2 linked regions of the Ovis aries genome follow. The protein of the gene in region 2 interacts with the protein of the main gene of each other region in a pairwise test. Links are inferred from orthologs where the notes say so. Each region holds a gene or a part of one and is shown on either strand. Other genes may lie near its edges. The genes, in order: USP15 and TRIM21.

Region 1 (4,491 bases), on a different chromosome or scaffold from region 2:
ATCTCAGACATGTGTAGCTTATTTTCATCTCTAGAAAGTTAGTTGCCAGATAAAAATCATCCACTATTTACAAATAAACAGAAATTCTAGTATCCACATAGAAGCAAATCTGTATCCTTGGCCAGGTGTTAGCATTAATTACCAGAGTAGTAAGAGGCAGTCCTTTTCTGCAAAGTGCTCACAACCTAATTAATGATCTTTACTTACTTGAATGTATTTGACTATAACATGAAATGTTACTATTAACATTTCAAGAATAAACTCATGGTAAATCTATCATTTTTTCTTAATAGTCCAATCAGTCTTTTCAAGTTGGTAACATACATATGCCAAGAAAATGTTTCATTTGCATACGGCCCATTTCAGCTATTAAAAAACAAACATAATTTGCCCACCCATAAATGACTAACCCAAGGCTTTTTTAAGACTTTAAAAAGAGAAATAACTGTTTAACAAGTTTTAATGAGTACCAAAAACATGAACCTAAGCGACAACTAAACCATTAAATATCTTTACGAATTCTGTACTCATGAACACATTATCAAATTCATACTTAAATTATTCTCCTTAAAATTCTGAATTAAACTTTTGCTAATTCCTTTTTTGATAGGTTTCACTTGCTAATTCCAAGTAAACTGGCTCACATATAAACCAAATTAGTTTCTGGAGCATCCCAGTACCATCTTTTCCTGTATTTTTTTCCTGTAAATGAGAGGGGAAATCAATTGTGAGGATAAAAGTTTGCATATTCTGCTGTTAATTAAATGTCTGGGCCTCAGTTTTCTTTTAAGATGGAAGCACTAAAATGCCTCAAATTTATGAACTTCCTGTATTTACTCTTATAAATATCAACAGATCTTTAAAATGATTTACAGTAACTTTGTCAAAAATAAAAATGCTAAACTTTAATGGTCACAATATCCATACTGCTTTGGTCATCCTTTATGGTTAACACCACCAATTATTACTCAGTATATCAAAACCACAACAACAGTAACAAGGAGTAATATACATAAAAGTAATATCTATATATTAAATTAAATAGCATCACCAACTCAATGAACATGAGTTAGAGCAAACTCCAGGAGACAGAGAAGGACAGGGAAGCCTGCCGCACTAGAGTCCATGGAGTCACAAAGAGTCAGACACAACTTAGCGACTGAACATCAACAAATATATTAAATTGTAGACTTGTATTTCATGAAAATCCACATTTACCTTTGTATAAGGTGGTATTAGGCAAGGTAAATTAAGAATGTTAAAATGTTCTTTAACAAACAAGAAGAAGGATTGATTTCATTTTTTACAATTCACAGGAAAAGGTAAATAAAAATGTCCTAGGAAATGTCCAATTTCCCCAGTAATTAACATCATAGGAACACTCCCTTATGAACAAAATGATTATTAAACCATATTTTTTGCTGTAATCCAACACGTATATGTTTACACTCAGGGATTTTTAATCATATAAAACTTACAGTGTGGCCTAACAAAATAAGAAAAAGTACCAAAACTTGGACCAAAGTATTTAAATTCAAGTCCCAAGTCTGTCATCTACTAGCTTACTTGACAGTGATTCTAGCTTACTTGACAATGATTCTAATACCACAGCATTTTAACAGAAATGGTGGTGATAAGAAGGTAACTAAAACTTAATGTTATATCAAGGCAGAAAATCTTGTAGACTATTTCACTGAATCAGGATAAACCCCTAAATGAAATTATTCTGTCCATTTCGTAGATGAAATCATTGAGATGCAATTTGAATTAACTTTCCTCAAAGTCACACTGCAAGCTAAGTGGTGGAAAGGCTAACCTAACGAGTCTAAATCTTACCCTCCTTCCACTAAGCCATAATGAGGAAATGAAAAAACACGCTGCATATTATACACAACTGTTATGGTGACGATGGAAAAGTGAAAATAACTTTTATTATAATAAAGAAGCACATGATCCTTCCTAATGAAACAGAGCATTTTAGGTTACATATTCACATACTTAAGTTATTTTGATTACCACTTGATATGGCCCACAAATATTAAAATCTACAAATACTTCCTTCGATATTTTAAGTATATCCCTTGGTATTTTATAAGTTTGAATGTTAGCAAGTGACTGAAGCTTCAAGTGGACTTATCTACTTCTTGCAGGCCTAACTTATCCTTCCAGTGAGAGGGAAGGACTGCACTTCTAAGAGAAACGCTGCTGGCGTCTATCAAGCCTCCACTAAAGCACAAGACCACGTGGTACCACTCAGAAGCCTAAGGTTCAGTACTCCTCTCCCTCCTTTTGACAAGGAACTAGGAACTAGGTTCCTTTCTCTTAAGCGGCGCCCTGACACATGCCACCTGTGTAGTAAGAACCGCAAACATCCTGCAGCCGGCCTCCCGGAAGAATACGAGAATCAGAATAGGGGAACTTGGATGCCGACAATGCAGGGAAAGGAAATGACTAAAGAAGTGAAGCGGGTGAGATCGTGATTAGCCGCGAGACCAGGACCTGTCAAACATTAAGTGAGAGTCTCACACTGAACGAGAGTAACCTATCGTTCGGGAAGGCCTGAAGTGGGAGCGGCACAACCAGAGGAAGAAGGACAAGGAGAACCGCACGAGCCGCCGCCGCCGCTCCCCGCAAGCCTTTCAGCATGCCTCGACGAGCCATGAACCGTGGCCCTCATTTCGGGTCCAGTCTTTGCCCCAACCTTGCGGAAGCGGCCAAAATCCTGCTGCCTGAGGCGGCCGCCGCCGGACCTGCCCGCACCTGTCACCAGCGAGACACCAGCCCGCAGTTCCCACCGAGTCCCCCACCATCTTCGGGCAACCGCAGCCACCTCAACCTCTTTCCCTCACCAGGTGTCCCCTTTCCGGAGCGAGGTTTTGAGCAGCGTCGCGATGTCAGACCGCTGGATGTCCAGATCTGCCGCTCCGCCTTCCGCCATCTTCTTCCACTAGCGGCAGCGGAGGCGGCAGCGACGGCGGCGGCACGCCCCAGAGCATTGTGGGAATGGCGTCCCGCGGCCCCTCCCAGTCGGCAGGTCGAAACCAAACGAGACGTAAGGCGGGGGGGGGGGTGCGCCTCCGGACCGGCGTTGGCCCCGGGCGGAGTGAGTGCTCCGCCGTGGTCGGCTGCCTCGCATCGGCCCCCGCCCGTCCAGCAGCTCGCCTCGGCCTCCTACGACCCGGGAACGCCTGGTTTTAACTTTCTGCTGTGGGGCCTGGATCCTGGCTCATTTGAGCGGTGCCACCGCCCTGTCCATCCTGCCTTCTGCCGTCCCCTCCGTCTTTCCCACAGACGCCTGAAAACCCTTATTTGCGCATTCACTCACGCTTGAGGGTGGGGCGGGGCGGGGGGCGTGGGGACGGCTGAAATATGGCAGAAAATTTGTAACAGGTCTGTGACTCGAGTCTCTCCGTTGCGAGTCTCAGAACCTAAACTCGGTGAAGATTGGGCCAAATCTAGCGACCCGAAGCCGAACGCTTAGCCGCAGCGCTCTTTCTGGGCTTTCTTGCGCTCCTACTCCTGCTGTAGGTGGAGACCTTTTATAGGCTCTTTGTGACGCCTCCCCAGGCACACCCAGATAGCTAAGCTGCAGTGAAAAACATGTTCCAGTTCCTCGGTGAACAAGGTGTAAAATATGTATCGAATAGTGCCAGGTACTAAAGTAAAGGAGCCAAAACAGGCAAGAAACCCATTCTCCTAGATACTGTGAAGTGACGTATTCCTAGCCACACCTTCCCATGGTGTGTGCACTTGAAAGTAGCTAATACCAGCAATTAGTTGAAGCCGATTATGTCAAAAAGGGGAAAATCGAGTCTCAACAATCAAATGCCAAGGTCACACAGCAAGTGGAGAGGCCAGTTTATAATCCAGCTTCACGTGCACACTGGCTCGCTGTCCAGTATAGTACACTAATTACCACTCCTTCAGCTCAGCTCAGTCGTGTCCGACTCTTTGCGACCCCACGAAAGCCTAAACTAACATAGAAACTAGGCTGCACTAATTCATTTAAAACAAACAAAAAACAACCCCTTTGTACATCTAGTGGCTAGCGCTTTGTACACCTAGTGCTGCCTAACAAGAATGACCTAAATATGTGTTTCAGAAATGAATTGTGGCAAAACTGCGTAAGTAATTCCAAGCATGAAGATGTCCAGCGATTTGACTGTAAGATAACATGATGTGAAAAGTCTAAAGGATGGATAAGAATTCCAGCATGATCTCTCGTTTAATTTTCAGCCTCTATGCTAACTCATTTGGTGGGAATGCAGAAAATGGGTGTAATATACTAATAAGTGTTGAACCCTTCCAAGTCAGGGTAGTATAATTTGTGTGTATCAGCATTAGGATTGCTTTTTTTTTTTGAAGTAATACTATTTTGTATTCTTGCATCCTTGATTTGAAAGTCTGAAAACAGCTTCCAGTTCCTGCTGTTTCTTATACCATTTGACTTTTGACAAGTTAAAAATTAGTTTATGAGTACTATCAAAGAGT
Region 2 (3,799 bases):
CTGTGTTAGTTTCAGGTGAATGGCCAAGTGATTCAGTTATACATGCACATGTGTCTATGCTTTTTTGTATTCTTTTCCAAGTTAATACAAAATATTGAATATAGTTTTCTGTGCTATACAGTAGGTTCTCGGTTATATATTTTATATAAGGTAGTGTATATATGTTAATCCTAAACTCCTAATTTATCTCTTCCAACCCCCTTTTCTTCTTTAATAACCATGTTTGTTTTCTACATCTGTTTCATATACAAGGTCATTTATATCATTTTTTAAAGATTTCACATATAAGTGTTATCATATGATACTTGTCTTTTTCTGGCTTACTTCACTTAGTATGATAATCTTATGTGTGATTACATAATCTTATGTGTGATTACATACACTCTTCTGGAGTGTACCTGGATCACTTATTAGTAATTATTGGTGGGGATAAAAGTTGAGATACTATGAAACCTCTACTATTTAATTCTTTTTGGTGGAGATGCAGGGGATGGCAGTATGTCCTCTGTGTAATATATCTGCAAACATCAAGGTAACCCAATATGCCAAGGTATTCAGATTTTGAGAAATAAAAATTTATTTAAGTTTATATCATTTTGGCAGTGTCCTCATATCAGCATATCAACTGAACGGGAAAAAAACACACCATCAATTACATTGGCCCCCCGCAAAGCAGAGAAGTAGAAAAGCTGATTTTATAATCTACCCTTCTAATAAAAAATATTTCTTTTTGACCCATGTTGGATATACAGAAATCCAACCCTTTCCCAGCACATCCCATTCATGATGAATTGAATTCTCCATATTCTCTCTAGTGCATCAACCAAAGCACTGGTCACCTTTGGCAACTTACATTGAGTTAGCTCTGTGATGTTGTCTCTTGCCTGAGGATTCTGCTGTTGCTATCTTTCCATCAAAGTACCTTCTTTCTGTCCAATGTTAAGAGAGACCTAAAAACAACAGCTTTTTTTGAGGTCACTGACATCTTTGTGTAGTATCTAAGTTTTTCATGAAATATTTAGCATATGTGCTAAGGGCAATCTGAGATTCTATTTTAGATAAGGAATCACATTTCCTGGAAGGACAGTGGCTCTCAGGCAGCCTGCTGATGTTCACATGTAGAACTTCATTGTGTCAACTTAAAAAGTTTAAATTCAACAAAAGTGTGTGCTGAAATCAGGTGATGCTGTTACCCCCTTCCTGGCCTTCACACCAGTTAGGATTCAACTGGTAGAGAACAGGAAATAAATATTATGAGATTTGCTTATGGTAAGAAATTCACTTATACATCTGGGAGGGCTGGCAAGACAAGTCATAAAATCCACAGGGCAGATTATCCAGGAAGGTGAAGTTCAGACTCTTGGGCATGAGTTGAAGCTGCTATTCACAAGTGGACTATCTTCTTCACAGGAGTCTCAGATCCACCCTTAGACTTCCACCTGATTGAACATTAGGCCCACCCACCTTATCTAGGACAACCTCCCTTATTTAAAATCAAATCATTATGGACTTTGATGACATCTACAAAAATACCTTCATAGCAACAATCTAGATTAGTGTTTGATTGAAAACCTGGGGGCTTATAGCCTAGGCAAGTTGGTCTATCAAAAAACTATCACACTGGCCATTTATGTTGATACGTTCTTTAACCAACACCACTATCAACAAGATGTGGTTGGGAGATAACAGTGGAAATGAGGGATCACAGCTGGTTAGATATTTAACACAGCAACCTAAGGTCTGCTTAATTCAGCCTTTATTTTAAAAGTTAATGCCTGTTTTCCTATAGGCACTGTGAAGCCACTCTTGATCAGATGCATGTTGGGAAGATAAACCTTGAGGTATACAAGATAGGAATGATGGGATAGATTGAGACCAATTTATTTAGGAAGTCCTGTGCAAGATACATGGGACTTCCCTGGTGGCTCAGATGGTAAAGCGTCTGCCTACAATGCGGGAGACCCAGGTTCAATCCCTGGGTTGGGAAGATCCTCTGCAGAAGGAAATGGCAACCCACTCCAGTACTCTTGCCTAGAAAATCCCATGGACAGAGGAGCCTGGTAGGTTACAGTCCATGGGGTTGTAAAGAGTTGGACACGACTGAGTGACTTCACTTTCACTTTGCAAGATACATAGTAGAGACTGGACCAAAAGCCTAGAGATGGAGAGGAAAAAGCAAAACTTGAGTCACATGAAGGCAGAAACATGCTTTAGTTGATCCAGATGAGTTTGGGGGCCAAATGCAAGTAGTTTGTTTCATGGAGGAAATCATAAAGCAACATAGGGCAGGAATCCTGGTGCTGTAGGTCATTTGACATAGACCGTGGGTGACCTTGGTGCCAGTTTGCCTGTGGCATCCTGATACATCTGCAGAGACGAAGGTGGTTTGCAGTTCATGGGCACATGAGACAGGGCCACTGGCTGAGGAGTGGAACCAACAGAGGGGTTGCTTGTGTCCAGAGAGAATCATCTAGATCCCTACCAGCAGGTCTTAAAGTGGACAGAGGATCAGAGGGGCTGAGTTTTTTCCTCTATCATTGAAACCAGGATTGAAGAAGGGCCGCAGAGGTCCAGCAAAGGCACATTCAGAGAAGGTGTAGATGAGGGAGCCATGGTCAGTGATGTTGTAGAAAGAGACAGTGCTGGCCTCATAATCTAGGAAGATCCCAATTCGGCTTGGAGGCACCTGAAGGTGGAGGGGAGTCTGGGGGCAGGTGCCAGCCTCATATTTTTGTTTGTTCCACAGCCAGATTATCCAGAAGCCATTGTCAGAGTTGAGCAAAAACTGCCCCTTCCTCCTCACATTGTCTCTACAAACACCCAGGTCCCAGGCTTCCTTTCCCGTCACATCTACTTCCCAGTAAACTTTTCCGGAGTCAAAGCGCTGGGCACCCAGTACCATGGGGTAAGTATCAAATCTCTCCTCATTTTCAGGCACGTCCTGCCGGGTGTTTGCAAGCCTCACTTGTCTCCGATTCTCCGAAAGGATGAGCCATGGATTGGCTGTCTGTGGATCCAGGGTGATGTGTACTGCAGAGAGAGGGCCACAGTCAGGCTGGGAGAGTGTGCAGAGTCAGCAACCCTGTGCCAGTGGTGGGGGGATGAGGATGAAGGGGTGACCCTGAGCCTCACTGTGTGAGGAGATGACTCCTAGCCAACTCTGACCCCTGCCATGACCTTTGAGGGAACCACCTTCCCTATTTCTGCACCTGCCCCACCTACTCTAACCGGCCATCTCTCTCCAACCCAGGGATGCACTGGGCACCCTCCTTATCCCCTTCACTCCCTTGGCAAGCCAGTCCCATACCCCTGGTGCTGGCCCCACCTCCACACGTCCTCAGCATCTTCTTAATCCCGGGCACATAGAATACATTCCTCAGGTCTGTGGAGGCGACATCCACCTCCTTCAGGTTCCATGATTCACTCCTGGGGGAAAAAGAATTAGAGACCCTGTCTCCAACTCCTACCTCATCCTGCCCAAATCCGATGGTTATACCACCCTTGTGGATGACTGATAATGTAATCTGATGCAAATTTGCAAACAGCTCCTGTGTTAGGGGGGCTTCCCAGGTGATGCACTGGTAAAGAATCCACCTCCCAGTGCAGGAGACATGGGTTCAATCCCTTGGGTCAGAAAGATCCCCTGGAGAAGGAAATGGTAACCCATTCCAGTATTCTTGTGTGGGAAATCCCATGGGCAGAAGAGCCTGGGGCTACAGTCCATGGGGTTGCAAAAGTTGGACACAGTGAAGTGAAAGCTGCCCAGTCATGTCCGACTCTTTGCGACCCCATGGACTGT

The links.
Region 1: the proteins of TRIM21 (region 2) and USP15 interact in binary tests that used the Homo sapiens proteins (3 or more experiments, as listed by UniProt). The link is inferred for Ovis aries from reciprocal best matches to the Homo sapiens genes TRIM21 and USP15.

What each region holds. Positions count from the first base shown.
Region 1 is NC_056056.1:157,401,785-157,406,275, forward strand, and holds the start of USP15 (ubiquitin carboxyl-terminal hydrolase 15), read right to left. Parts: upstream 2,950-4,491; 5' UTR 2,939-2,949; coding exon 2,850-2,938; intron 1-2,849. UniProt on the Homo sapiens protein: Hydrolase that removes conjugated ubiquitin from target proteins and regulates various pathways such as the TGF-beta receptor signaling, NF-kappa-B and RNF41/NRDP1-PRKN pathways.
Region 2 is NC_056068.1:49,582,348-49,586,146, reverse strand, and holds the end of TRIM21 (E3 ubiquitin-protein ligase TRIM21), read right to left. Parts: intron 3,427-3,799; coding exon 3,326-3,426; intron 3,031-3,325; coding exon 2,492-3,030; 3' UTR 554-2,491; downstream 1-553. UniProt on the Homo sapiens protein: E3 ubiquitin-protein ligase whose activity is dependent on E2 enzymes, UBE2D1, UBE2D2, UBE2E1 and UBE2E2.